Sus scrofa: one gene and its partners. The protein of the gene in region 5 interacts with the protein of the main gene of each other region in a pairwise test. Links are inferred from orthologs where the notes say so. Each region holds a gene or a part of one and is shown on either strand. Other genes may lie near its edges.

Region 1 (3,658 bases), on a different chromosome or scaffold from region 5:
CATCTAGTTGTGGGGCATACATAGCATTTCATACCTGCAAGTGAATCATGCAGACAACCCTCAAGAATATTCCTTGGGGCAAAGTAACCCAGAGTTCCTACAAAACAGTCTCCACTTGATTTAGATAATGATTCGCCACTGAATAGAATTTCACATTTCTAATTTATGATCACAACAATCTCACATGTCAGATTTGTAATTGTATTTTACAGAGGAGAAAATTAGAGCTTGGACCGAATTTCTAGGTAATGTACTGGCAGGTCAGGCAGTACTGCTGCTAAATTCTGTGATCCAAGAATCTCTGAATTCATGACTATCTTCATGGGGGCCCCAGGATCAGGGATCTGACTGAGCCAGTCATAGACAGTCACTGTAAAGATGCTGGTGATGTCCCAGGCTGTATCTCCCTGGACCCACGCCACGGGGGACAGTTCCTGGCCCACTGATAGTTTCCCATCTCAGACCTGGATCTCTCTCTTCTCTGAGAGATTTCTCAGGCGTCGTCCATGCAAACCTGGCCGTGTGTGGGTTTTCTGCCCACCTAGGTGGGACTGCGCTCTCCCAGTGGCAGATGGGAGACTGGACAACTGCTCCCCATCTTCTGGTGGGAGAAATCTGAGCTGTGGTCCTCACGGCTTCTCAGCAGGTCCCTGGTGGGATGGAGCCCCAGTTGCCTATACTGTATTCTCATTTCTCCATTTCACTCTTGGGCTTCCTGGGATCTCCTTCCACATAACCTACATCCAGATCCTTGACTCAGGACCTGCTTTTTTGGTGGAACTCAAACTAAGATGCAGGGCATGGTAGCAGGGTACTATAGGAGATGCAGTGACATTCAGAAGGTGGGTGTGGTTTCTCTAGGAGCATAAAAAGTCAAGTTGATAGTCGTGGGAGTAGCAATGATGATGTGTCTACAGAAGGTAAGACACCATAACTAGATCTTCCATCAGGCTCACAGTTGCAAATAGTGCAATCTGTGGCTTATATAAGGTCATTTAAACTTTCCAGGCTACATGTGTCACTTTTGAGTTAAGAAAATATTGCTAGGGGAAGGCCAGAGCTGGCATCTCAAAGTTGAATACTCAGTCCACAGTGATCACAGCCAGGAAGAGGTGAGGGCAAGGATATAGCATGATCACAGGCTTGGAGTGGGGGACAAGCAGGATGTATTCAGAGAATATGAAATTAATCTGGTTGGGGGTCCATGAACTACCTGAAATTGTAAGGTGTGTGTGTGTGTGTTTGTGTACAGGTGCATTTTTCTATGGAGACAATCTAGAGCATTAACCAGGTTCCCAAAGGGGGTTCATGAACTAAACCATGTGGAAGAAGGCACTGAGCACTGAGGATTCTGAGAAGGCTTGTGATGTGAACTAAGAATCACAGAATGTTAGTAAACTGTGCCCTGAGTGATCACATTGAAATACCACCTACTGAGCGCTTGTGCTGTGTACTAGGATAGAGCTCAGCTCTTTATAAAGTTATCTTGTTCACTCACCACAAGCCATTCTTTGAAGTGGGTTCTGATATTATCCCCATTTGACAGATGAGGAAACTGAGACTTAAAATGATGCCTGGCCCAAGGTCACACAGCTGGATTTGAATTCTGGCAGGCTGATTCTAAACCCCATACCTTTAACCCCACACCAGTGGCCCTCAAACTTTAATGCACAGCAGAATTACCAAGAGAGCTTGTTATAACAGAGATGCCTGGGCTCCATCCTCAGAGGTTCTGATTCAGCAGATCTGGGGCAGGGCCTGAGAATTGGCATTTCTAACAAGTTCCCAGGTGCTGCTGCTGCTGTTGGTCTGCTATTGGACACTTGGCAAACTCTCTTTGAACTCTAAGCTCTCATCTCCAGAGAGGAGGATGTGGCACCTCCAAGAGTTGATGTGACGCATCTTAGCAGCCAAACCAAGATGAGACCCTGGATCTGTGGCTTCTGAACCCAGGACTCTATGCCACTCCTGCTTGGAGGAGGGCACAGCCTAGAGAACTATGTGTGTGCACTTGCACACACCCAGCTTTATTACCTGATGTGTGTCCCCCTCTGGAGGATGGGCGTTGGGGGAAGACAGTTCCTTGCTTGGCTCCTCCGAGCCCCCCCGGGCCCTTCTCCACCTTTTAGCCCGCCGATCTGCAGCATGGGGGGCTTCCTCAGGCTCACTGCTGTCTGACGTCTCCCTGCTGGCTGCCTGGGGGTTGAAGTTCACATCTAGCTCTCCCTGTAGGCGCATCTTCTCAGCCACGGGGTTCCTGGGGGCCTTCCTCTGCAACCAGGACAGCCTGGCCTGGTGCCCAGCTTCACGGGAAGAGCCTGCGGAGGAGGTCTCTGAATCAGAGCACATGGCCTCGGGGTTGGGGGAGAGCCCGGAGGAGGCAGAGGCGGCAGAGGGGCCTTGATCTGAGCCCTGGACCTGCATGGGCTGAGGCTGCGGGTGTCTGGGCAGGCCCTGGGGCTGAGGGCACAGCGTGCTCAAGGCCTCCCTCCAGTCAAAGTCTTCCTCACTGTCGGAGCCCATCTCATCATAGGCAGATGCCACACTGGAGGCTGCCTCCAGGGCCTGAAAGGTGCCGCTCTTAGGTTTGACCAGCAGGCGGGTCGGGGGCAGAGCCCCATCCTTGAGGGCCATCCAGTTCCCATCAGGGCTCTGCAAAACTGGGGCAGCACCTACAGGCAGGAGGGAGAGAGAAACGAGAGAGGGCTGTTATCGCCTCAGAGCAGGGGGCTGTTCTCCTCTGTGCCCCTCTTCCTGGAGCACTTCCTGGCCTCCCACCTGATGTAGCCTCCTCCTTCTCTGAGTGGCTGTGACAACCGGAGTGGCTCATTGCACGATCTGGCTTGTGTTCTGGCTGATCAGGCACAGGGCGGAGCCCTCTCCCTGACGACGAGGGCCCTGCGGGAGATCTGGTCTCAGTCATCATCCTGGCCTTCACTGTCCCCAGGTCAGCTTGTGCAGAGGAAAGGGCAGAGGCTGTGAAATCAGAGGGCCTGGGTAGAAAGCTGCTCGTCTCCTTAGCTGCTGTGTGAGTGAGTGTCTGAGCTTGGGGCTCTGGTTGGTGAAAAGGGCACTGGATGAAATGAGGCAAGGCTCATAAAATGTGTTACACGTACCTGCTCAGAGCAAAAACAAATTCTTAACAGCTCTTTCCCCTGGACCCACCAGTGAGGCCACTGTAGGGCAGGGCAAAGAACAAGAACTCTGGATTCAGGAAGAGCCAGGGCTGAGCCCCAGTCATTGCCATTACTAGCAGGTGACCTTGGTCAGAGAGCATCTCTGAGCCTGTTTCCTGACCTGTCCACGGAGACAGTGTGACCTTCCTGGGCTGTTGGGCGATCATTATGTTCACTAGCACATGTGAAGCATCCATCATAGTGCCTGCTACACTGAGGGCCCCCAGCTGTTTTATCTTCTCTCCACTGAATTGGATTATTATTTAACATCCAACTAAGGATCAGCACCCATGTACGCCTTGTACATGTGTATAGCAAGCAGGTAATGTCTATCTCCTATTCAATACTGTGACAATATATTTTCATTGACTGTGTGAACACTCAGAAAAGAGGCTAACCAGGGTGTTATTACCTTTCACATGCTATGGACTCTACTTGTGATAACAGCAGGTCTTCCAGAAAAAAAAAAGGTACTCTTTGGT
Region 2 (4,331 bases), about 37 Mb from region 5:
TTTACTCATTTAAATATCAGACAACACTAAGAAGGAGGCACTACGGACAGCCACTTACATCTGTATGTTTCTAGTCACTAAACTCCTGGCACTTTCTGTATGTTTCTAGTCACTAAACTCCTGGCACTTTCTAGTCACTTTTATCCTGGCACTATTTTTTTTTTTTTTTTTGGTTGCGCCCACAAAACTTCCCGACCAGGGACCAAACCCTCACCAAGTAATAACCAGAGCCACAGAGGTAACACCAGATCCCCAACCTGCTAGGCCACCAGAGGACTTCTGTTCTGGCACTATTAATGGAAACCGAGGCACAGCGAAACTGCCAGGAAGCTAATAAGTGGGGTATAGTCAGGGTGTGAATCCAACAACTTGCCTCCAGAGTCTGTGCTCTTAACTACTACTCCATGCCGCCTAGGTAATAATGTGGCCCCAAAGGACAAGTGCTCAAATACTGGCACAGTGGACAGGAAGTACTCTAAGGGAACGGGGTCAGATCCCAAAAAGGGCTTCCTGTAGGAAGAGCAGCCTGTACTGGGTATGTAATATATCAAATGATCAGTATAATTAACACTGCTGTATGTTACATATCAAAGTTATTAAGAGAATAAACCCAGAGTTCCCTTTGTGACTCAGTGGTTAACGAACCAGACTAGGATCCATGAAGATGCAGGTTCGATCCATGGCCCTGCTCAGTGGATTAAGGATCTGGTGTTGCTGTGAGCTGTGATGCAGGTCACAGATGTGGCTGGGATCCTGCATAGCTATGGCTGTGGCTGTGGCGTAGGCTGACAGCTGTAGCTCCATTTCAACCCCTAGCCTGGGAACTTCCATATGCCTCAGATGTGGCCCTAAAAAGCAAAAAAAAAAAAAAAAAAAAAAGAGAGAGAGAGAGAGAGAATAAACCCTTCCATATGTCATACCTTTGGCTCGGATCTGATTCCTGGCCTGTGAACTCATATGCCATGGAGTTGCCAAAGAAAAAAAGAAATATGTATTTTTTCTAAGTATCTATTTATTTACTTTTTTGGGTCTTTTTCGGGGCTGCACCTAAGGCATATGGAGGTTCCAGGCTAGGGGTCGAATCGGAGCTACAGGTGCCGGCTTACGCCACAGCAGCACCAGATCCAAGCCACATCTGCGACCTACACTACCGCTCATGGCAACGCTGGATCCTTATCCCAGTGAGCAAGACCAGGGATTGAACATGCATCCTCATGGATGCTAGTCAGATTCGTTTCCGCTGCACCACAATGGGAACTCCCTATTTCTATATCTTTAATTTCACATCTACAGGAAATGATAAATGTTCACTAAACTTATGGGTAATCAAATTGTTATACTGTACACCTTAAATTTATAAAGTTTAATTATATCTTGAGTAAAACTGGAAAAAAAAAAAGCACATGCACATGGAACAAAACAAAAGAGGCCCATGTATCATTCCAGGTAACTCAAGATCTGGGTCTCCCACCTTTGGATCTTGACTCAGTCTCATAACCACCACCAAAGTCCTGAAAAGTTGTACTCCAGGTGTAACGTCTAGATGTGGATGAATGGGGGAGGAGAGGGGCTTGCAGCAAAGACCCTCGTCTACGGGGTCTGGTGGAAGGCCCTGTGTAATGGGAGGGACTGGCCAGGAAGCCCCATCTCTTTCAGCAAATGGAACTACAGATCTCCCTAAGTCTGGCAAAGGTGGAAAACTGATCTGGGGGTGAGGGTGGGGTGCACGGAGGTAGAAAACCATTTGAAAGGACGTCTAGGTGAGGGGCAGGGACAGAAGAATGAACCAACGGGCCTGAAAGGCGTGCTAAGGATAAGGGCTAAGGGGAAGCCAGCAGGGGATGGACACGAGAGTCTGGGCAATGATGCCTTGCTCCCGGCAGCAGGATGGGGCTGAGCGTCCATCGTTTGAAATGGGGGAGGGCAGGGATGCTAGAGCGAAGGAGACACAAGAATGATCTATTAGCAGGTGTTGGATGGTCGAGTCTGGGGCTCTGGCCAGGGGAGTTGGAAGGGGTGAGACTGGTCCCCAGAGGTCCTTGTTATGGATAATAAAAGCGGTTGGACCAGGCATGAAGGAGGGCTGGTTTCACAGACACCGACTGCACGGATTTTCACAAACGACCCCACTAGGAAGAGGTGATTATTCTCATTTTACAGGTAGTTCCCTATCTACGAGGCTAGAGAATTTAAATTATTTGCCCAAGGCCACCCGCGCCCGTCTGCGATTTGAATGGAGCGCGGTCTGTGACTCAAACCAGATCCTAAGCCACAACAAGGGTTCTCAGAGTGCCGTGGCAGTTGAAGAGATCAGCACGTGGCTGGCCGGAAATTCGTGAAGCAAGAGAAAGGAAAGGAGAAATGAACTCGTGCAGGGATCGGGGAAGAGGTGAGGCTGAACCACCAGAATGAGAGGGAACAGAAAGCCGGACCCCGGATCAGAAGGAGAAAGGGGCCCCACCCGAGTGGGGGTGGTCCAGGGGGTCGGGAGCAAAGCAGGGCCAGATCCTCAGGTCAGAGGAAGGGGAGGGCTGAACGCCCTGGTCGGAAGTGGGGGACAGTCCCCGGGATCCCCGAGGGCTAGAGGCCAAGCCCGCCTCCCGGTTGGGGCAGCGCGGGGCGGGGCGCGGAAGGATCCGGGCACGCCGTGCTGCGCCGCCCCCGGTATATCTGTCCCCAGTCCCCCGGGCCGCCTCATTCCCCATCCTCAGATCACAATCTCTCCTCACAGTACCGCGACACCTCCTCCGCCCGCGTAGCTCCAGCCATGGCTCTGTAGCCGCGACCCCTCTGTGCCCCCGGCCAGTCGCCGTGCTCACCGCGCCTGCGCTCTCCGCTCCTGCCGTCTTTCTTCAGCTGAGGCCACCGCCGCCTCTTCTTTCCGCAGCCATGGAGTGAGTAACCGCTCGCTCGCCCCTCCCTCTCCAACCGTCTTTCCCGCCCTTTCCAAGCTCGCGGCCCTCACCACCGGGCTCGGGGGGGTGGGGAGACAAGAGTGAGGAATCACGGTCGCGCAGGCGCAGAAGAGACAAGACGCTCCGTTTGCGCGCTGCGGAGCATGCGCACTCAGCTGATGGGGGGAGGGTGCGTTCTTCCAGACAATGTTGGCGTTTAAAGACGACCACATGCGTTTGCGCCTGCGCACTAGCTCCCAGAGAGGGTGGGTTTCCCCCCTCCTCCCCGCTCTGATTGAGTCTGTCAATCAGCGATTGCTCAGATCCACCGGCGCTTGTATCTCGGAGCAAAGGGCTGACGAGCAGCAGCCGCACGTGCGCAGCACTGATCCCGAGGAGGGCGGAGCCTTGCGGGGGCAATAGGACAGCTCTGGGGCTGGAGCCTGCGCTTTGGCCCTCGGCGAGACAGCCGTGTACGGGGGTGGGGGGAGGGGGAGTCGGGAGCTGTTCTCATCCCGCCCCCCTCCACCCTCCGCCTCCCTCCAGTTTGCTCAGGCGTAAAAGCACGTCTTCCCTCCCTTTCTTTCAAGCAACTACGGGGGCGGGGGCGGGGGGAGAAGGCGGGGCTTAGAAACGACCAGTTAAGGGACGGGAGCTAGGATAAGAGACGTCGCGGAGGGTGGGGCGGGGGCGGGGTACCCTTTGGGAGAAGGGGCGTGGCTAAGCGCGCCGTGCGCTGAGGGGGTGGGGTTTATATTGAGAAAGAGGCGGGGCCTCTGGGAATCGTCGGGGAGGGTGGAGCTAATAAACCAGGGGGCAGGGCTTGGGGGGACGGGAGACCACTGCAAAATTCGAAGGGAAGAATGGGATTTGAATGGAGGATTTTGATGAAGGGGCGGGGCAGGGGGATTCCCCTGGGAACAGATTCACAGCAGGAATCTAGGGACAGGGTGGGGCCTAAAGGATATGTTTTAGGGCAAGAGGTGTGGCTGGAAGAAAATTCCCCTGGGATTGAGGTTTTTGTGTTTTTTTTTTTTTTTTTTTTCCATGAGAGATAGTATTATGGGGTGGGTGGGAGGGTCTTAAGGTAATTCCCCTGGGACACCATTATGTTTCAATATTGGAAGGATTGGGTCTAGGGAATTCTGAGGAAAAGTAAGTCGGGGCCTAAAGAAAATTCCCTTGGGAATGGGTGGGGTCCCCATTTGAGGAAAGAAAGGGCAGATGTAGAATTCCCAAAAGGTAAGGAATCCTGGGGACCTGAGGGGGTATCGCTTGGTTTCCCCATGGCCTTGGCCGTTGGCGAGGCTGGCCCCTAACCCACTCACTTTTGTCTCCCACTCGTAGGTCCTCCACTCTCGCCTTGGTGCCCGTCTTCGCCCAGCTGAGTAATCTCCAGAGCCTCCTGCCAGCTGTTGGTGCAGCCTCCTTCATTGC
Region 3 (4,352 bases), on a different chromosome or scaffold from region 5:
ATATACTGCGGGTATGGCCCTAAAAAGCAAAAAAAAAAAAAAACCCTTCTATTGGAGTATATTTGACTTATAATATTATATTGGTTTCTGGTATATAATAAGATGAATCAGTTATACATATAGCCATTCTTTTTTCCCATATAGGTTACTACAAATTATTGAGTAAATTTCCCTGTGCTATATAGGATGTTCTTGTTAATTCCTATTTTATACAGTAGTGTGTATTTCCCTTCCTCCCAATTCATCCCTCCGCTCCCTACAATTTCCCCTATGGTAACTATAAAGTTTAATTTTGAAGTCTGTGACTGTTTCTGTTTTGTAAATAAATTATTTTGTATTGTTTTTCATTAGATACCCATATAAGTGATATGATATTTGTCTTTGTGTGACTTACTTAGTATGATAATCTCTAAGTCCATCCATATTGCTGCAAGATGCATTATTTCATTCTTTTCATAGCTGAGTAATATTCCATTGTACATATGTACCATATAAGTAACATTTTTTATATTTAAATATAAAATATTACTTATAAGGTCTAATACTTTCATGTCAACATTAAAACAATCTGAGGAGTTCCCATTGTGGCTCAGTGGTAACGAACCCAACTAGTATCCATAAGGACGCAGGTTTGATCCCTGGCCTTGCTCAGTGGGTTAAGGATCCAGCGTTGCCATGAGCTGTAGTGTAGGTAGCAGACACAGCTGGGATCTGGCGTTGCTGTGGCTGTGTGTAGGCCAGTGGCTACAGATCTGATTTGACCCCTAACCTGGGAACCTCCATATGCCATGGGTGTGGCTCTAAAAAAAGACCAAAAAAAAAAAAAAAGAAAGAGAGAAACAATCTGAGGTATTTTTTCAGTTCTAAAATTCTTTGATTTCTTAGTGTGTAGAACTTAGTGAGGCAATGCAATTCAGTAGAAAGTAGAAACTACCAGGAGTCAAATCCATAGTTCAGGCTTTGCTAACAATTACATATGTCTAAACAAGTTACCTTTGGGAGTTATGAGCATAATGCCTGACTTGCTTACCTTAAGAATTAAATAACTTAGAGGAAAGTGCTTTGTCAGTTATAAAGCACTATACAAATAAATTGTTACCTGTCGACGACAACCCACAACATATCTTGGTCCATTTGTAGCTTTAACAATGACTAGAGAAAGAAAATTAAAAAACAAATTGAAAACTACAAAGTAAAAAAAATGAATATACCTACACTGATGGAAGGTTGAGTTTTATCTCTGTTCGCCAAAGGACAATAATTGAAAGAAAATTTAGTCTATGCAAGAATGTTATCTACCTCATTACAGTTATAAAAATAATAAGCATTTCAAAAGATGGTGGTGGGAGGAGAGTCTACTCTTTTTTTCTTTACCAATTAACAATCTAATACACTTACATTTTTCTTCAGTTAATTGCTTAAGTACTTCACCCACAATCTAAAAAGAAAAAAAAAAAAGCATTACTTTTTGCCAAGAACTAAAAAAGCAAAGCAAATTACCATCACCCTCTCATCCCAAGCTCCATTACCTACCTGTCCGACACTTTGTAGGGCCTTCAGATCATTTTCAGACTTTTCATACTGCTTGGTAAGTTCTTTTAATTGTTCCCTTACTGAAATAATATAATTTGAATATTTTAAATTAAATAATCCTAGCCAGTGTGTTTGTCACTAGGTCTCACTTTACTTAAATTCAAGTCTATTTCACTTTACATATATTTCATATCCACTCTATCGAACCACACACACACACACACACACGCACAATACCGTTTGCAGATGACATGTTTAAAAACGAAATGTTGCAGAGAAATTACCACATTTTTCTTTTCTTGGTCGTAAATACTTACTTTGAGCACATTTTAGGTTACACTTTTAACAGATATTGACATTCTGACACTTTCAATTTGAGATCACAAATTCGAATGATAAAAGAGTTAGAGCCTTCCTCACTTCTCCACTTACCCACACGGATTGTTACTCTCTGGTTTTCTAACCCATATGAAGTCCACAGGTGCGGCGCTCCACAAAATTATATGGTTATGGTCTTCCCCCATTTAATTAAATCACTCAGGCTTTTCACTGACGGTACACTAAGAAAAAATCCTAACAATCTTTTCAGTTCAGGAAGAAAGGGAACTTTGTGTACCATGTAGAGTACTACTCAAAACACGACGAAAGAAGAGGAGGGCTATTATTGACCGATGGATCCCTTCTCTCTAAAGCTCTGTGTTGGGCTTTCCACTCCGCTAACGAGCCAACTTCCCGAGTTTCATCTCTTGCTTTGGTTTGCTTAACTCTTTTCCCCGCTCCGGGTCCCAGGACTCCAACAACACTGCACTCCTTACCTCAAACTGGGAAACATCCCTGACCCACTTCTTCCCCACTCCTCCTCTGGTCATCTACACTTCCATCTCAGAACTGGGGGTGTTCTCTCTGTCACCTGGACCAGTCTGGGCCATTTCTACGCCCGAAGAGGCTCCGCTTTTCAAGCACAGGGAGGGATGACAAAGCGCCTTGTCCCCAGACCGAGGCCTTCTCATTCCCGGTGCTCGGCTGCCGAGCTCGGCCAAAGGCCTCTGCTTTGTCATAGACAGAAGCGAGTTCAGACACGAGATTATATGGAAAGAAAGGTGCACTCACACTCCTTGAGACGGCCATCGATCTCCTTGTGCTCCAGCAGCTTCTTGCGGTAGTCCTGAAGCGCCTTATCTCTAGGGTCCGCCATGATGAGAAGCCGTCGCTCATAGGGGATGTCGGGAATGGCCATGGCCGCCTGGGCGGGGGAAGGGGCGGGGCGAGGGAGAACAGCCTCCCTGGAAGGGCGGGTTTGCGGGCGACCCCGCCCCTTCCGGTTGGCCCGCCTCTGCACTCCTCTTCCGGAACTTCTATGCCTCCTTCACTAGGGCTCCGCAGTGAGTTAAAGGAGGCCTCCGGCCACACTGTCCCCTGCTGGTCCGCTTGGGTAAAGCAAGGCCCTGATCTGGTGTATCTGAGAAGCCTTGATATGCTTGAGTCACTGCCCTCTTGGAACCACAAAAGGCTGTAGTAAACTGAGATGGAAGTGAAATAGAGAATATACATATCTCTCTAATATATATAGCTCTACTGGCTTCTCAGTAAAACAAGGATAGCTTCTTGGTAAAGAACAATAATATCCAGGTGAAGTAAGAGGTAGATGGGCCCCTGGGCTGAGAACAGCTGGGACTTCTTAGGTCAAGCAAATTGGGCCTTGTTTCTTTTTGGCACTTCAAGGAAAAAGTTAATTGCAGGAGCAGAGCTCTACTGGAGTAGAAAGATAAGATGACCACTTTAATCACTCCTGGGGTAAAGAAGACCTCCCCAATTACACATGCACAGTAAGATTCCTAGGGGGTCAGAAAAGGAGGAGGCACCAGGCCATAATAAGTCCTGATACCTGCTTAGCACACTTTGCTTTGGAATCCATCTTTACCAAAAGGTACGCACATATACTGGGAAGGGTCCTGTGTCCAGTCAGGTGTGAGAAATAAATAAGATAATTAGCCAAAGGTAAAGAAAGATCCAGAAGAATTGTGCTATATAAGTGATTTAAATCACCTCTCTGGTGTGCCCCTCACTCAGGGGACGCCTGCACCCGCACTCCTCTTTGGGGTGTGTATTACTTCTCTGCTTCTGACTTAAACTGCTTCTTTGTGTGCTTTCCCATATGTTGTACTGTGACTCTAACAATAAACTTTATACCTATTTTCACAGTCTTTGCCTCCCTGAAATGTTCTTGCTTTCAACAAGGGGCAAAAGTTAGGGCAATTCTACTTTTCACCTCTAGCTAGTCTAGTGGCTAGGATTCCTGGTTTTTTATCCAGGCTGCCCAGGTTCAATTCCTGAGCAGAAAAATAAGATCTCTCTCCAAGCCAACACTCATTGCTGTCTCTCCAAAATCACAGGATTTCAGGATACAGAAGGAGTAGGGTATTCATTTATTTACTCAGTGAATGAGGCATTACTAAGGGTTTGATCTGGTGAGGAGATAAAAAATAATAATTTCAAAGTGTAATAAATACTGTATTATAATGAAAAGAAACCATGGTGGAGGAAAATGAGAGAAAGATAGAACTACTTTAGGACAGATATCTGCAAGAAGGGGCCAGCCAAGCAACAAACTGTAGAAAAAAACCTTTCAAACAGAAGAAACAGCAGCTACAAAGACCTTAAAGTGAAAAAGAGATTTACTCATTTCTTGGAACAGGAAGGAGACCAACAAAACCAGAAAGGGGCGGGTCGTAGAAATGAGGGGCTCAAGAGGCTGAAGTAAGCTAAGAAACTTGAAGTTAGATAGAACTGTTTTTAAGATTCCTGTGCTGGAGTTCCCG
Region 4 (4,107 bases), on a different chromosome or scaffold from region 5:
AACATTTACCCATTTACCATCCTAAAAGGCTCAGCCACGACCACACACACCTCTCTCCACTCCTTTCAGTGGGTTTAAGCTGGGCTTAATGGGTGCAAAGGACAATTTCTTCCAGACAGTCCCTAAGAATAGACTGTTCTCATGCATTCCAAATGCTCAGTCTCCATGGAGGAGGCTACCTGGTCACAAACATTTCTCAAGAGGGAATATATCCTCAACACCTCTTCATTGGTAACACCCCCACCCCAATAGAACAAAACAATTTCTAACCATCCTGAGAACTTCGGGGCACTTTTTTTTGGAGGGGGGAAGAAAAGAAATCTTAAGAGGGGAGTAGGAGAGTGTGAGAAACTCCTCTTGTCTCCAAATGGAAAAAAGGCCTTAAAAAGCTGGATCAAAGGAAGAAAGGGGGATGGGGGAGAGAGGCTGCTTAATTACAAAGACACCCTTTTAAAGAAGGCGCGGGCCCTGGGAGAGGGCTCTTAGGAGAGGCACAGAAGCAGATGTACCCACTTAGAATTCTGGCACTCAATGGGACCTCAAGGTCATAGCATCCATCCCTCTGCTTTCTGAATAGACTGTTCTTAAGGCATTCTAGAAAGAGACTGATTCGTTCTTTACAAAACTTCAGAAAAAGCAACCACACAAAATGCTTGGGGAGGGTTCATTAGTCTATAAATCCTATTTCATAAACCGGAAATGAGATTTCAATTTCCAAGTCCAAAAGAGTATTGAATGTGAACTTTAAAATTCCCTTCGAAAATCTTTTAAATAGGTAAACAGAGCCGCAATTTCTCACGTAAAAGTTACTCTCTATATAAGTATGGTCAGAGGTTTACTTCGTATCTTGTCTATGAAGTAAGAAAAAGCACTTTCAATTTTACGGAGCCACAGACTTTTCCAAAGAAAGAAGTATCTTAAAATGAGGTATGAGGTAGTGCCAGAAAGTGTCTGCAAATGACACCGGATAAACCCATACAGAATAGCTGGAACCTGAGTTATCATCTGTAAATAGATGCAACTACTCTACAACCACCTGGCTATTAAAATGTCCCAGGCCAGTTATAAAATCTAGTTTGGTCAGGCCAACTTTTCCTTCCCAGCCGATCTGAAATATGATAGCCTTTAAAATTGTCACCCTGTAGCATTCCTTCACTCCTTCCTGCTTTCTTTTCCCCCATTAAAATCAACCAACGAAATTAGGTAAAAATATAAGTAAATAATATGTTCCCAAATAAGCAATGCGTTGAGGACCTCTTGGTAATAGGTCTTCAAGCACCACCATTCTTATGAGTTTGCCATGCTTACTCAATAGGAGGTAGATGGGAGATGGGTAAAGATTTATCCCACTTCCAAAATGGTATTTCAAACTATTCTTAGCTACTAAATGAGGGTGCTGAAAGGTCTAACTGAGAAAGCTTCACAAAGGCTGTCCTGAGAAAGGACTTTTCACAAAGCCTAGTTCAAGGAGACTTAAATACCCTGAGCCCTCCATTATTGAAGATTATGGTGACTAATTATCTTCCTTTCTGAATGGGAGAAGAGGGTTATATTTTTAAAAGTTTTAATTTGCCTCCCAACTTCCACTCTTTATGGGGGTGGGGGAGGAGAGGGAGGAGGAAGGAAAACTAAATTAGACACTCCAAGGTGTCAGAAAATTCTTTCCAAAATGCATGCTAGAGATTGGAATGCTGTTTCTCACAAACTGTCCCTTCCCTCTCTCATTTAATTGTATTTAGTCCCTTGCTGCAAATTATTATTATATTATTATTAGCGGCAATTTACCAGGGAAAGCTCAGTCTATAAAAGACTGTCACTTTCCCTCTCACTTTTTGCCTTCTTTTCATTTTCATACACTGATAAGCCCATCTTGCTGTTGAAGAACCATCATATAGTGACCCAGGCTTGGGACCCTCAAGCACCTGCAAGATCCAATAAAACTAGTTACTAACATCTGTAGTGGCAACCCCCTCCTCACCACACACACACACACACACACACACACACACACACAAACACATATATATATATACCTAAAAGAGTGTAGCATTGTAGATCACTTCAGACTAACTTCAAGAATTCACAGCCCCCAGGGAGGGGAGTGTGAGCCGCCAGCTCAACCCCAAGCATTTAGGAGTAAGCATCTAACAATCTGAGATAAGCCTGGACATTCCTGATGAGTTAAATCCTACTAGACCTCAAGTTCCCTCTGGTCTTTAATTCCTTTTGTGCTTAATTACCTAGAGACCTACAAGGACCCCAGGAAGCAAGAGAGTAAAAGTACCATCGAGTGGTGGTACCCGTTAGCATCTTTGTGGGACTGGAAAGGAGCGCACACTCTTTAACCTATTTAACTTGCTGCACATCCAGGAAAACTCGCGGCCAGCTGCAAAGAAAGTAGAACACACAGGCATCCCCACACGCATCTAGATTGACTCACTCATGCTGAGGTTACGATCAAGTTCATGCCACCATGGATTCCTGCCCCAGATCCCCGCGAAAAGTAACCACGCGTCTCCTACCCCTGTAAGCAACGAAGACAAGGTGACGACTCTGCTCGCTCAAGAGGCTTCCGTCCCAGGCCGGAGGCCAGGGATGGGCAGGAGGGAAGCCCCAACTCCCGGCTGCTCCCCTCCTCGCTGCTCGGTCCGGGCTCTCCTTGGTGGCAGTGGACAAGCAGGATACCGGGCCGGAGGGTGGAGCAGCGGATGGTCGGAGGCGAGACAGACTGGAGGTGGGGGTGGAGGAGGCGGTGAGAACTAAGAGAAGATGAGGCGAAAGGGAGCGGAGATGGAGGAATAAATCAGGGGGTCTACCAGCTTGGGCAGCCAGAAATCTCCTCGGAAGGAAGGGGCGTGACTGCGATCAAGGCAGCTCCTGGGCAAAGGATTGGAGGTAGGGGAGGGGGACGAATGGGTGGCTTTTCTTCTTGCGGTGAGCGGCAAGGACCGCCCAGGAGAGGGGGGGGGAAGGGGAGGTGGACTAGGGAGTGGGGCGGAGTAGAGGGCGGGGAAAGAAGGAAGGGAGTAGCTTGGACGGGGTTGGGGGGGGGAGAGGCGGAGCCAGGGGGCGGGGAAGTTTCAAACAATTGAACGCCAGGGTCGGCCGCTAGGCGAAAGCCGGGGTTGCACTCTCTGGTCCTTCCACTAACCCGGCTCGACTCGGTTACAGTACCCCTGAGAGTCTACACAAGGACTGACTGGGAGGAAGGAAAGGGTTTTGCAAAGACTCCAATAATAGTGTACGGCAACTGCGCAGCGGAGTCGCGTGGGAGAACCAGTGCAGCTCCCCGCCCCACAGCGGGAGGAAGAAAAACAAATAATAGAAACGCTGAAAAGCAGCTTCAGGCAAAGCTTGCTTAAAATAATGCAGGAAGGAGCAGCGCTCCTCCGTTTTCCTTCCCCTCTTGCTTCCTATGACCAGCAGGCCCCCACCCAGGTCGCAACTATGCGAGACACCCTCCTTTCTTCCTCCGCTCCCCCAGCCACCCCCTTCCTCCCCCGCGCCACCCTACGTCCCCGCCCCGCTCCCGCGGCTGGCCGCGCTGGCCGCTAGGGTGGCGGGGGCGGGGCTCTGCGGAGCCTCCGCCTCTTGGGCGGGCAGGAAGGGCCGGCTTGGGCGGAGCCGGCCCGGAGGAGTAAGTCCCACCCACCATTCTTTGGCAGTTCCCGGTTGGCGACTCCTGGCCTAGGGTTCGCTTGCGATTGGTCACTTGCGTCGTCGATCCGATCCTTTTGTCCCACCCGCCCTCAAAATTAATAAAACTAAACAAGCGGCTATTGTCTAGCTCTCGGTTCTTCCCCAGCTATTGCTGCGGAAAGAAAGATGAGACGCTTGGTCTCTCAGTCTCCTAAGAGAGTGCGATAGAGTGTTGGCCGGCTCTAGTACACCTTTGTGGCACTGCTCGGCCCTCTGGGAATAGGTAACTTTTCTTCCTCCCTAATTCTTTAGCCCAAGAGGAGGAAAAAAAGTACGAGAAGTGTCAATGTGGCGTTCACATTTCCAGGCTGCGAAAAATTGGTATTGCTTAAAGAACACAGGGTTGAGAACAGCCGCTCAGGACACTGAAAATCAACCATTTTACAACCAGGAAACGAAACCACAAAG
Region 5 (4,413 bases):
GAACTGAGCCCCCTCAGCAACCCCTGGCTGGACGGCAAACATCTGGTCTGTAAAGGGAAGCAGAAGAATGTAGTCAAAGCAGGATGGTGTGGGTTGCTGAGGTTGAGACAACCTGGCCACAGGACAAGGCTTCTCCTTCTCAGCCCCTTTCCCTCCACTCTGGTAACACCTTCCTTTGCAGTCTTCTTCCCCCCTCTCTGTCTGCCGATTTTCCATCTCCTCACAGGGTTTTCCCTTAGCCCTGGGAGGCAGCTTGTCTTCTCTTAATGCACTTCTTCCCAAATGACCTCATGCTCTGCTGTAGCTTCAAGAACAACCATGTGTTGGGGCACTCAGATCTGTCTCCAGCCCAGACCCGACAGCTACCAAATTCTGCAACCAAGCCTGGGTTCCTCAAGTTCCCCATGTCCAGACCAGCTCTCCCCGTTCCATGTCCGCAGCAAGACGGCCCCACTCTCCAGTCCGTCACTGTAGCTAAGAATCAAGAGCAGCCTGGACTCCTCACTTGCTTCATTCCCTCCTCACTAGCCATCAAATTCAGACAATTCTTTCTCTTAAAAACCTCAGAGAGACACAGAGAGGGAAAGAGAAAGAGAACGTGCGTCTGTACATACATCTCCCCTCGCTTTCACTTGGTTAGGGCTGTTTCTGGATTACTGACTGCTGTGGCCTTTTCGCTGATCTCTCTGCCTCTAGTTAAAAATTTAACTTTGGGAGTTCCCGTGTGGCACAGTGGAAACAAATCTAACTAGTAACCATGAGGTTGCAGGTTCGATCCTTGGCCTCACTCAGTGGGTTAAGGATCCAGCGTTGCCATGAGCTGTGGTGTAGGTCACAGATGCGGCTCGGATCCTGTGTGGCTGTGGCTGTGGCATAGGCTGGCAGCTGTAGCTCAGATTTGACCCCTAACCTGGAAACCTCCATATGGCAGGGTGTGGCCCTAAAAAGCAAAAAAAAAAAAAAAAAAGTAAATTTGTCATGGCTCCCCCCAACAAACTCTGGCTAAACCCCTTTATGGCCTACAAGGCCGTGCTTCATCTGGCCCCTGCTCACGGCTCCAGAATTGCTTCTTGCCACTCTGCCCCTCCCACCACCCCAAACTGCTCAGAGATCTCAGGACACACCATTATTCTCATTACACAGTTCCCTTGGCCTACACTACCCTTCCTCTCCCCTTCCCTCCAAACTCCTCCCTTTGCCACCCAGACAATTCCTTTTTGTACCTCAAAACTCAGCTCTAATAGCCCCACCTCTCTAAGCCATCTGGATATTCTCCCCTCTGCCCAAAAGACACTAACACAGCTAACTGTGCCTTCTTCTGAATCCCCACTGCCCTGGGTCTTTTTGCCATTTTCTTGGGCTGCTCCTGCGGCACATGGAGGTTCCCATGCTAGGGGTCGAATTGGAGCTGTAGCTGCAGGCCTACGCCAGAGCCACAGCAACGCGGGATCCGAGCCGTGTCTGCAACCTACACCACAGCTCACGGATCCTTAACCCACTGAGCAAGGCCAGGGATCCTAGTCGGATTCGTTAACCACTGAGCCATGACGGGAACTCCCATGTTTGTTTCTTGATGGTCAGTAAATGTCTATTCAAGTTTTTGGGGTTTTGCTTTTTTATCTGTCTTACAATAGCAGCTTCCACTTCTGGCTCTGTGACTAGAGATAGAATTCCTCTATATATCTTCCATCATATTCAGGAGCCAGTATGGAGCCTGGCACTAACCAGGTACAGTAGATCCTTGCCGAGTGAGTGTGTGAATGGGGGAGGGGGACTGCAGTGGGATATCTATGCTCAGGAAGACCCCAACAACAGTAGCAGAGGCTACAGCTGAAGCCTAGGTTCGCCCCTCTGCTCAGAGAGGAACCCCCTCCCCCACTGACAAGCCTCTCTCCCCTGACCCGGCCCTTTGAAGCCTCCATGTCTAGCACAATCCCGGTGCCCCTGCCTCTAGCTTGCTCCATCCTGAGGCCCTGGAAAGAGGGCATGCCCCATTATTCTTCCTCCCCAACAACCGACCTCTCCCAAAATTAGTGTTTACTTGACGAGAGCTTTCTATTGACCATATATTACTAGGATTCGAAAAAGTGGGGGTTCAGTAAGAGTGAGGGATAGTGTAAGTGGAGGGAGCAGGGACCCTTCCCACATTCAGTAGTGGGAAGAGGTCCTAGGAGCAACGGTTTAGGGACAGTCCCTTTGTAACCTACACACTCCATCCTGTTAAGCAAGGGGCTTGGAGATCTTCCTGGCCCAATGTTTTCTTTTTTTCTAAGCTTGGGCGGGGGCCGTGAGGGAAGCTGGGATGAGTGGAGGTGGTACTAAGAATCACGGGGTTCTCAGAGACGGTAAAATGGGAATGGAGACAGCCCAGGATCAGGTTTCTCTCCAAGCTAATTAGCAATTTGCCGAGGTGGGGCGCTCTGTAAGGGTGGGAGGAGGCAGCCCCCCTTCCTGCCTAGCCTTGAGGGGGTGGGGGAAGGAGACTACCCCGGGAGACCGAGGATACTGACGGCCCTTCCTTAATCTCCCCCAAAGAGGCAGCTGGGCCGAGGCTGCGACCCCCGCCCCCTGCGGCAGGGGTCCAAACCCTCCCGCTCCGGGCCCCCACTCACGGCCTGGAGGCGCCGGCCCGCCCAGCTAGCTCTGTTCCGAAGGCCCGCGGCGGGAACTCTTCCGTCGGGGTTGTGGCGGGGGCGGGGGGGGGTTGTCCCTTGGCCTGGGCGTCCACGCGGGCAGGGGCGTGGGTGCGGGTTTTCGTGTCGCGCTCCCACCCAGGCCGGGACTGCGGAGTCGCGCGGCGTCAGCGCGGCGGGGCGGGGCGGCCAGGCCCACGTGGGTCGGTTCGGTTTTCCGCGGAGCCGCGCGAGGGCCGGAGCGCTGGAACCGCCTCCTGAGCCTTCGGCACCTTTGACCCAGCCCTTGCAGACTCTGTTTTATTTCATAACTGCGTTCACAGGATCCCTCCGATCGGTTTGCCTCACTGCACATTCAGTGACATTTTCAGAATGAAAATCTGATCATGTCTCCACCTTCCTGCCTAAAACCATTCAATGGCTTCCGCATTGCAGGCTAAATCCTTAGGGCAGCAGCCGTGGGGCTCTGAGCATCCTGCTTCACCTCTGCGGCTTCAGCCTGTGCCCTCGCCTCTGCAGCTGGGCTTCACGCCCCTTCTGCCACACTGTTCTCTCTGCCGAAAATTCTCTCCCCCATCTCATATTTCGGATCTCTTCTCAGAAAAACCTCTAACCTCCCAGATCAGATTAGTCCCCCCTTTTTATGTTATCCTCCAGGGTGTTTTATTCCTTTTCTTAATAGCAGCTATCACCATTTAAAGTTATATGTTTCTTTTGTGCTTATCTGATTAAAGTCATTTAATGAACAGAGTAATTGCTGACTCTATTGATAAAACCGAAAAGCACTGGCTGTTAAGGAGAGGCAGCCCCAGAAAAAAATATGGGACAAATTTAGCCTTCAGGTCATAGGATCTTCCAGAAGATCCCTTCTACACCCTCACCTTTACTGGACAAACCAAGCAATTGGCTATAACTTCCCCATGCTCCCCCCTCCCCCTGCCAATTAAAAACAAGCACAACTAGGAGTTCCTGTTGTGGCTCAGCAGTTAACGAACTGACTAGTGTCCATGAGGACTATGGTTCGATCCCTGGCCTCACTCTGTGGGTTAAGGTTCTGGCAGGCCATGGTGTAGGTCACAGACGCGGCTAGGATCCAGCGTTGTTGTGGCTATGGTGTAGACCGGCGGCTACAGCTCCAGTTGGACCCCTAGCCTGGGAACCTCCATAAGCCATGGGTGCGGCCCTACAAAAGACAAACAACAACAACAACAAAAACCCTCAACTAAACTAATATGGATTCATTTTTGAGTCGTAATACATTAGAAAATACCATTGTCTTTCCCCCTCCTTTCTTTTGCTTTTTTTTTTAAGAGAATTTGAGTCTGATCTCTATGATGAGGCATCCTCTTCCATTCCCAGCTTAATTCTAACTTCCCACTCTGCAATAGAGATTAAATGGCAAATTAAATCACACCAACACATCCTGTAAACAAAATAAAGGAAGTGGAAGAGAAAAATCATTTTATGATTAGGACAACTATTTTAAGAGAGAAAAGGAAATAAAACGGAAAAGGAAGAAGTAACTCAAGCTTTGGGTACTCCCCCAGCTAAAAATATATATGCGGAGGGAGTTCCCATTGTGGCATAGAAGAAACAAATCTGACTAGTATCCATGAGGATGTGGGTTTGGATGTGGGTTTGCCTCACTCAGTGGGTTAAGGATCCAGCCATGAGCTGTGGTGTAAGTCGAAGATGCGGCTTGGATGCCCACTTGCTGTGGCTGTGGCATAGGCTGGCAGCTGCAGCTCTGATTCAATCCCTAGCCTGGGAACTTCCATAT
Region 6 (4,321 bases), on a different chromosome or scaffold from region 5:
AACTCCATATACTGCAGGGCGGCCAAAAAAGAAAAAAAGAAAGAAAGAAGGGAAAAAGGAAAAAACTCTCATAACACTGGTAAATGTATATATACCAGTACACACACATACACACACCCACACACACAATGGAATACTACTCAGCCATAAAAGAATGAAATAATGTCATTTGCAGCAACATGGATGGACCCAGAGATGATCATACTAAGTGAAATACACACACACACACACACACACACACACACACACACACACACACACAAAGCAAGGTGGTCTCTTGTGGCACAGCAGGTTAAGGATTGGGTATTGTCACTGCAAGCTGCTTGGGTTGCTGCTATAATGCAAGTTCAATCCCTGGCTCAGGAACTTCTATATGCCACAAGCACAGCCAAAAAAAAAAAAGTCAGTCAGACAGAAAAAGACAAATATCATGTGATATCATTTTATGTGGAATCTAAAAAAAAAGATGCAAATGAACTTATTTACAAAACAGAAATAGACTCACAGACATAGAAAGCAAACTTACAGTTACCAAAGGGGAAAGGTAGGGAGAGGAATTAACAGACACACTACTGTATATAAAATAAACAAGAAGGACCTACTGTATAGCATAGGGAACTGTATTCAATATCTTATAATAATGTATAATGGAAAGAACCTCAAAATAACTTTAAAAGAATATATAGTATATATACACATATATAACAATCACTTTGCTGTACACTTGAAACTAATATAACATTTTAAATCAATTAAACTCCAAGAAAAAGTTGTTGATATTGGGAAAAAAAACAAAAACCAAAAACTCCTATGACACTGTAGGAAGATAAGGAAATTGAGACTCAGAGGGGATCATTACTTGCTCAAGGTTACCAATCCCAGGTCTGTGACTGAAGTGGAACAAAAATTTTGACCCTGGAGTTCCCGTCATGGCTCAAGGGTTAACAAATCCAACTAGGAACCATGAGGTTGTGGGTTTGATCCCTGACCTTGCTTGGTGGGTTAAGGATCCGGCATTGCCGTGGGCTGTGGTGTAGGTTGCAGACGAGGCTCAGATCCCTCGTTGCTGTGGCTCTGACATAGGCTGGTGGCTGCAGCTCCGATTTGACCACTAGCCTGGGAACCTCCCTATGCCGAGGGAGCGGCCCAAGAAATTACAGAAAAAAAAAAAAAAAAAAAAAAAAAAAAAGAATTCTGACCCTGACAGGCAGAGAAAAGAAGTTTGCAGGGGAGCAAGATGAAGAGCATCAGCTCAGGGGAACATCCTGGCTTCTGGGAAATTAAATCCAAGAGTCAGAGATGGAGGAGCCATGGGCTTGGTGAGACAAGGAGGGACTGACATCCTGGGAGCTAGACATGTGTCCTCCTGCTGGGGCTCGAGGAAGCCTCTGTCCTTCAGGAGGAAACTGCACAATAACAAGTCACATGGCCCTGGGAGGGGGTTTCCTGTTTTCCGGCCCCTCCCAGGCTGGCCTTGGCCAGCCCAAGTCTGAGCAGGCAGTAGCCAGAGTTACCCCAAGAGTGTCCAAGGACTTGGTCCTCTGACCAAAGTGCCCCCAGAGTAATAGAGAAGTAGAGCAGGCTGAGGGGACCAAACCCCAGGATTGGAACTTCCGGTTCAGGAGAGCCCTGGCAGGGAGAGGGGACCATTGAAGTCCTTGCCATAAGCCCAGATAGGGGAGGGAGGGGAACAAAGACGCAGTGAAGAATAAGAGAGGCAGAGGAGAATGGGGAGGTCAGGGCAACCTTGAGAGGTAGTGAGCTTCCCGTCAAGGGAGGCATTTAAAAGTGCCAAACCATCATTGATAACTCAAGATCCTTCCAGAGAAGTGAAATCGATGTCCATTACACAGAAGAAATTGAGGCTGGCATTCACTTTGAGTTGGGATCAGGTTGTGATTTTAGGGGGTGAGGAAGACTCAGAAGACACTGATTTCTGGATAACAATGAGTGCCAGGGCCACGCGGCCCCGAAGCCGGCGAGGGAGGCATGCTTTGCCCGTAAGTGTCCCCTGTCCCTGCCACACCCATCTCTGTGGGACCTCAGGACCCAGACCTGCCTGGCTCAGTCCTAGGGATCATTTGCAGGGTGAGCTGGACCCTGTGGCAGAGAGTTCAGAGGAGGCCGAGGCAGCCAGTGGGAGCTCTCACCTGGGCCCTGTGCCATCTCAGGATAGCTGTAAGCCGGAGCTGCTGGGCCATGAGGTGGAGGCCAAAGCAAAGAGCCTGGAGAGCAGGTAAGGCCTGTTTGTCCTGTGACCCCTACTCCAGGCTGGGCACATCTTTCCCACCCATAGATCTGTTTATGTCCCTCCCCTACTCACATGCATGTCATGGCTCCCACTGCCCTCAGCCTGACTTTCAAGGCCCTGTGCAATGCAGTCACAGCCTTGTTACAAAGCCTCTGTGTGTTAGCCACCCCAGATGACCCCATTTCTAGAACTTTCCATCTCTCACCTCTTCACAGGCCTGACAAAGAAGTTGATGGGGACTCTCACGGGGGGCCAGCTCTAGCTCCAGAGAGGCCCCATGAGCCTGCAGAGGAAGCCCGTCATGCCCCAGAGGCAGCCCCACGGGAAAGGGAGACCAGCCCTTCTGAACCTGGAGCCCCCGATGTGTTTCAGACTCTACAGCATGCTCTGAGCTCTCTGGAAGCGGCTGCTGCTGCCTGGCGCCACAGGCCCCCAAGCTGTGCTGGGCCAATGGAGGCAAAGGACAGAAGCGAGGGGGGACCGATGCCAGGCTTGGAGCAGGAGGGGGCTGGGAGCTGCCAGCGGGAGGCAGCCCGATTGGCTGAAAGGAACACCTGGCTGCGTTTGGCCCTGGGCAGCCGCGAGGACGAGCTGATCCGCACCCAGTCCTCCCTGAAGGCCTTCCAGGCTGAGAAGGAGAGGCTGCAGAGAGAGGTGAGTGGGGCAGCCTGCCTCCCAGGGTTCCCTGTGTGAGGGAGGAGGCGGTTTGGCACAGGACATGATCAAGTTCAATCATTTGTGTATTTGTAAGGCTTTTATGGAGGCTTGGCTGCTGAACCACAAACAGACAAAGGTTGCTTGCAATCTTAGGTAAAGTGATCAGGGAGGCCCACTGAGGAGGTGACACTTGAATAAAGACCACAAGGAGGGGAGTTCCTGTTGTGGTGCAGTGGAAATGAATCCAACTAGTATCCATGAGGATGCTGGTTCAGTGGGTTGGGGATCCGGGGTTGCTGTGAGCTGTGGTGTAGGTTGCAGACGAGACTCAGATCTTGCAGTGGCTGTGGCTGTGAAGTAGGCTGGCACTGTAGCTCCGATTTGACCTCTAGAAACACACACACACACACACACACACACCACACACACACACACACACACACACAAGGAGGCAAGGTAGGAGCCATGCTAGTGTTGGGAAGAGCATTCCAGGCAAAGGGAACAGCATATGTAAAGGCCCTGAAGTTGAAGTGTGGTTGATGTGTTCAAGGAACAGTGAGGAGATCGGTGTGGGGCTGAGTGGGAGGATACAGGGTATGAAGGTGATGGGGGCAGATTCTTCAGGGCCTGTGGGTCACAGGGAGGATTTGAGCTTTTTTTTTGCTCTGCAGTAGGTGAGAAGCACAGAGGATTATGAAGGAGGGAGGGTTGAGACCTCACGCAGGCGCCCTCTGGCGGCTGTGGGAGGAACCGCTGGTGGAGGGAGAGGGTGGAATCTTGGAGATAAGGGAAGAGACACTGGTCCAGAGGTGTATCAATGGAAGTTGTGCAGGTGCCTAGAAGAGGGCAGGTTCTAGATAATGTTGAAGGTGGAGTTGGCAAGCGTGGGTGTGAAAGCTAGAGAGGGCTTGAGAACGAGTTCTGGGTTGGGGGTTTGGGAGACTGCAGTGGAGGCATGGGGAGTCTACCAGAGGGGCAGTTTTGGTGGGAGGGAAACCCGAGTTGTGGTCTCTGATTAGCTCCAGATGCCATGAGCCACCCACATGGGGCCATTAAAAGAACAGCTCTAGGAGTTCCCATCGTGGCTCAGTGGTTAACAAATCCGACTAGGAACCATGAGGTTGCGGGTTCGATCCCTGGCCTCTCTCAGTGGGTTAAGGACGCGGCTTGGATCTGGCGTTGCTGTGGCGTAGGCTGGTGGCTACAGCTTCGATTTGGTCCTTAGCCTGGGAACCTCCATATGCTGTGGGAGCGGCCCAAGAAATGGCAAAAAGACAAAAAAAAAAAAAAAAAAAAAAAAAGGAACAGTCCTACATCTGAGTTCAGAACTCAGCAGATGTCAGAGTGAGAAGGACCCAGGTGGTGACACTAGGGGTTGCAGGTGCCAGTGCAAGGAGTGGGGCCCATTTCCCT
Region 7 (3,658 bases), about 38 Mb from region 5:
AGGCCCTGTAAGTCACCAGGGGTAGGGTGAGGGCTGGGTGCCCCTAGTAATTGCTCCGGGAGTCTTTGCTGGTGGTGGAGCCCTGGCCGGTGCTAGAGGCTGGGCCAGTGCTTGAGACCTGGCCTCTGCTGAACCCGAGGCCTCCGCTTGATTCGGACCCAGGGCCTCTGCTCTCCAGGCCGCCAAAGCTCTCGTGGCCCCTGCTGGACTCCAAGTAGCCAGTGGACCCCAGGTAGCTACTTGAGCTGGGGGATCTGAAGGTCACACGCCCCCCAGTCGAGCTCCGGCTGGACGCCAGTGCCCCGGTGGCACTGGTGGAGCCATAGGTCATGCGGCCCGCACTGGAGCTGGGCTCCCCGAAGGTGACGTGGCCGACATTGGAGCTGGGGGCGCGGCCTCCGCCGGCCACCAGGATGCCGCTAGTCCTGTGGCTCATGATGGACCCCGGGATGGCGCTGGGGCTCTTGGGCAGCAGGCGGGTGCTGGAGCTGGCCTTCTGGGAGAAGGTGATGCTTGGGGTGCTGTCCACCTTCTTAACGGCCTCGGCCAACTCCTTGAGGTGCTGCTCCCGCGCCTGCTCCTGGACCTTCAGCTGTGGGGGAGGCCGGTCAGGGCCCCCGAGGCCGCCGAGCTCCCCCCACCCCGCGCCGCCCCTTCTCACCGACTTCACCACTTGGCTCAGTAGCTCCTCCTTGCTCAGCGGATAGTCGTCTCTGGCCTCAAAGCCCGGGGGCTCTTCCCTAAAGTGGGGGGAAGGCAGGCCCCGACTGTATTCTCCATCCTCTGAAGGCCGATGGCTCCTCATAGCTCGGCCCAGAGACCCCCCCCAACTGGGCCCTGGGCAGCCCCGAGCGCCCTGCCCCCTTTCTCCTTCTGCTTCCCGAAGAGCACCCAGTCCATCTTCTCCCCCCGCCCCAGCCACCCCCACTCTCCAGTCTCTGAGAGAACCCCCCATGTGTCCCCCCGTCCCCGTGGGATCTCCATCCCCACCCCCACTCTCCTGCCCTCTGACTCACAGATTGTCAGGGGGCAGAGGCAGGACCACCTTCTTGAGAAGCTCCTCGGGGCTCTGGCCCAGCACCATGAGGGCAGCGCTAGGCAAGCTGGTGAAGGGGTAGCTCTGGAGGAAGGAGAAGCCAGTGGTCCCCGCACACCCACCTCCGAGCCTCGGCTCCCTGCCCCCCTCCACGCCCTCTGCACCCGGACCTGGGTTTCCAGGAAGGCATGCACCATCAAGAGCTCCACCAGCCGCTTCTCGATGAGGCCCAGGAAGAGGCCTATGTCCCGGTCTCTCATCTGGGTCTTGACCCCAAGGAGGTCATTGATGAGTGTGCTGTCACACTGGGCCCTGGTGAAGAGGCGCTGGATGGCTGGGGTCAGAGGGGACAGGCGGTCACCGATCCGGTGTCCCCTGGAGGCCCTCCCTCTCTTCCCCCTCAAGTCCCTGCTGCCTGGGCCGCGGGGACCGCAGGCGAAGCTCAAAGATGGAAAGGGACATGCCAGCGATCAGATGTCCGGCGGTGAGAGGGCATCGCTGGGGCCCTGCCCGGGGCTCGGGACCACAGGAGGCCAGAAGGGAGGGAGGTCAGAGGGAAACGTGAGAAGGGCACCGCCACACGGAAAGATGTCTTCACCCGGCGCAGTTAGAAGCACCCAACTTCTAACCAACCCCGCGAGTCCGCAGCCCAGGGTGTCTCCCCCACAGAAACACGCATAGGCGCCCCAAGGGCGCCGAGGCTGCGTTCCTGACCCGCTGTCACAACGGCCCGTGCGTGGCTCCCTTGCACCTAGTGAACTGGTTTTTGTGACTGAAATAAGAAGGCGCCCATGACTCTGACGAAACCCTGCAGCCAACGGGAGTTCCCAGGTGGCACAGCGGGTTAAGGATTGGCATTGTCCCTGCTGTGGCTCCAGTCTCCGCTGTGATGAGGATTTGATCCCTGGCCCTGGAACTTCCACACATCAGGGTCATGGCCAAAGACCTGCATCCACCACAGCCTCATCACACACCCCTGCCTCCTCCACCTGAGCTCTGGGCTCACATGCAGTTTCCTCCCATGGTCCCTCCCAAAACATCCCACAGCAGTGCTCACACCGAGCTCACCGAGCTCAGGGCCACAGGGGCTTCTTCTCCCAGGTCCGCACGTCACCCTCACCATGCCAGACCCTGTGTGCCTCACCCACCCCAGGGTTTATCAGCCAAGACCTTCTGTGCTCTGTCCCCTCCTCTCCATCCTCAGCCCCCTCCCCCCCACCCCACTCTCTCCTGCTCACAGACCAACCATGGCTCCCCAGCACCCCCAGGAAAAAGCTCCAGTGCCCCCGCCTGGCATCTCTTGAACTCCCACCCCGCACCCTGACATCCCCCTCCACACAGAAAGCCTACGGTCCTCAAATGCACTTCCAAGCCTTGGCCCCACCTGCTGGGAGCCTTCCCCGTCCCGTTTTTCAGTTAAATACTTATTCTTCGAAATCCACCTGAAGCATCGCTGCTCCCAGGAGACCCTCCTTTTCCTGCGACTCCAGCAGAGCCAGATGCACGGGCACAGGGCCCGGTGCTCAGCAGGGCCCCACATTTGGTCTGATGCTCTGTTACTGCCACTTGAAGTCCTTGCCGGTTTTTAAACGAGGGGCCCCACAAATTCAGTCTGCACTGGGCCCCCCAAATTATGGTCCTGCATCCCGCGTTAAGGCACCCTCTTGCTTCTGAAGGGCCCAGGGTGTCCTCCACCCCAGCCCCTGGGTTACAAGTACCCAGTGCCCATATCTGTCTCCTCCCACCCCCTCCCTGCCGGGCCCTCATCACCTAGCACAGCGCTTGGCATCACAGTGCCTGAGACAAAGGGAAAGAAGGCCTGCTGGTTCTGACTGTGCAGCACGAGGTGGCTGCCTGCTCGCTCCCTGTTACCACCCCCACCTCTGTCTCTCTCCACCCATCATCCCATTAATTCTCATGACAACCCTACGAAGTGCACTCTGCCAGCCCACTTCCGGAAGGGCTTCCACGGAGGAAACCACACGCCAAGGTTCACAATAGTGGAGCTGGGATTCAAAGCCAGGGCAGCCTGACTCTCGAGCACTCTGCATGAGGAGGATGGGTGATGGATGGATAGGGGAAAAACCGACAAGGCAGTGCACAAGGCGGTCCGTATAATGCCTCCACATGGCCCGCCTTGGGCTGGCTCTGCGACTGCTCATCGCATCCTTCCAGAAGAGGAAGCCGAGCGGCTGCTCACCGGTCTTGAGCGCCTCCAGCTGCCCGCGAAAGTCCTGGAAGCGGGCCTCCAGGTTCTCGGCCTCCGTGTGCACTTCGTCCACGCGCTGCTGCAACTCAGTCCGCTGCTGCTCCTGCTGAGCGCGCCGGTCCTCCTCGCTGCGGCGCCGGCTCACCAAGGCCTCCTGCATCTGCCATCGATCGGGGCGCCACACTGGGCCCAGCTCCGGAGGGGGCGTGAAGGAGGAGACGTGGAGGGGGCAATCTGCGTGGAGCTGGGGAGGGTGCGGTCCCGCTCACCTCTTTGATCTCCTCCTGCAGGTGCTCCAGCTCCGAGTTCTGCTCATTGATGAAGTTGAACTCCGCGAAGTTCCGCTCCTCCACTGCCGGGCGGGAAAGGCAGGGGCCAAAGAGACAGGGACACGCAGACAGAGCGACACACGG

What was found.
Region 1: the proteins of C6H1orf216 (region 5) and MYRIP interact in binary tests that used the Homo sapiens proteins (3 or more experiments, as listed by UniProt). The two-hybrid records come from large-scale screens. The link is inferred for Sus scrofa from reciprocal best matches to the Homo sapiens genes C1orf216 and MYRIP.
Region 2: the proteins of C6H1orf216 (region 5) and NUP62 interact in binary tests that used the Homo sapiens proteins (3 or more experiments, as listed by UniProt). The two-hybrid records come from large-scale screens. The link is inferred for Sus scrofa from reciprocal best matches to the Homo sapiens genes C1orf216 and NUP62.
Region 3: the proteins of C6H1orf216 (region 5) and PSMC6 interact in binary tests that used the Homo sapiens proteins (3 or more experiments, as listed by UniProt). The two-hybrid records come from large-scale screens. The link is inferred for Sus scrofa from reciprocal best matches to the Homo sapiens genes C1orf216 and PSMC6.
Region 4: the proteins of C6H1orf216 (region 5) and AMOT interact in binary tests that used the Homo sapiens proteins (3 or more experiments, as listed by UniProt). The two-hybrid records come from large-scale screens. The link is inferred for Sus scrofa from reciprocal best matches to the Homo sapiens genes C1orf216 and AMOT.
Region 6: the proteins of C6H1orf216 (region 5) and USHBP1 interact in binary tests that used the Homo sapiens proteins (3 or more experiments, as listed by UniProt). The two-hybrid records come from large-scale screens. The link is inferred for Sus scrofa from reciprocal best matches to the Homo sapiens genes C1orf216 and USHBP1.
Region 7: the proteins of C6H1orf216 (region 5) and CCDC114 interact in binary tests that used the Homo sapiens proteins (3 or more experiments, as listed by UniProt). The two-hybrid records come from large-scale screens. The link is inferred for Sus scrofa from reciprocal best matches to the Homo sapiens genes C1orf216 and ODAD1.

Annotation. Positions count from the first base shown.
Region 1 is NC_010455.5:24,514,990-24,518,647, reverse strand, and holds part of MYRIP (rab effector MyRIP), read right to left. Parts: intron 2,673-3,658; coding exon 2,035-2,672; intron 1-2,034. UniProt on the Homo sapiens protein: Rab effector protein involved in melanosome transport. Serves as link between melanosome-bound RAB27A and the motor proteins MYO5A and MYO7A. May link RAB27A-containing vesicles to actin filaments. Functions as a protein kinase A-anchoring protein (AKAP).
Region 2 is NC_010448.4:54,942,766-54,947,096, forward strand, and holds the start of NUP62 (nuclear pore glycoprotein p62), read right to left. Parts: upstream 2,941-4,331; 5' UTR 2,820-2,940; exon of another isoform or gene 2,616-2,819; intron 2,390-2,615; exon of another isoform or gene 2,302-2,389; intron 1-2,301. UniProt on the Homo sapiens protein: Essential component of the nuclear pore complex. The N-terminal is probably involved in nucleocytoplasmic transport.
Region 3 is NC_010443.5:182,327,586-182,331,937, reverse strand, and holds the start of PSMC6 (26S protease regulatory subunit 10B), read right to left. Parts: upstream 2,869-4,352; 5' UTR 2,771-2,868; coding exon 2,644-2,770; intron 1,614-2,643; coding exon 1,534-1,613; intron 1,439-1,533; coding exon 1,399-1,438; intron 1,153-1,398; coding exon 1,100-1,152; intron 1-1,099. UniProt on the Homo sapiens protein: Component of the 26S proteasome, a multiprotein complex involved in the ATP-dependent degradation of ubiquitinated proteins.
Region 4 is NC_010461.5:92,644,908-92,649,014, forward strand, and holds the start of AMOT (angiomotin), read right to left. Parts: upstream 2,956-4,107; 5' UTR 2,523-2,955; intron 2,460-2,522; exon of another isoform or gene 2,441-2,459; intron 1,490-2,440; exon of another isoform or gene 1-1,489.
Region 5 is NC_010448.4:91,887,678-91,892,090, forward strand, and holds the start of C6H1orf216 (UPF0500 protein C1orf216 homolog), read right to left. Parts: upstream 2,827-4,413; 5' UTR 2,613-2,826; intron 48-2,612; 5' UTR 43-47; coding exon 1-42.
Region 6 is NC_010444.4:60,410,157-60,414,477, forward strand, and holds the start of USHBP1 (Usher syndrome type-1C protein-binding protein 1), read left to right. Parts: upstream 1-1,472; 5' UTR 1,473-1,838; coding exon 1,839-2,000; intron 2,001-2,087; coding exon 2,088-2,236; intron 2,237-2,466; coding exon 2,467-2,905; intron 2,906-4,321.
Region 7 is NC_010448.4:53,730,382-53,734,039, forward strand, and holds part of CCDC114 (coiled-coil domain-containing protein 114), read right to left. Parts: intron 3,598-3,658; coding exon 3,515-3,597; intron 3,406-3,514; coding exon 3,237-3,405; intron 1,371-3,236; coding exon 1,207-1,370; intron 1,121-1,206; coding exon 1,017-1,120; intron 741-1,016; coding exon 662-740; intron 593-661; coding exon 44-592; 3' UTR 1-43. UniProt on the Homo sapiens protein: Component of the outer dynein arm-docking complex (ODA-DC) that mediates outer dynein arms (ODA) binding onto the doublet microtubule. Involved in mediating assembly of both ODAs and their axonemal docking complex onto ciliary microtubules.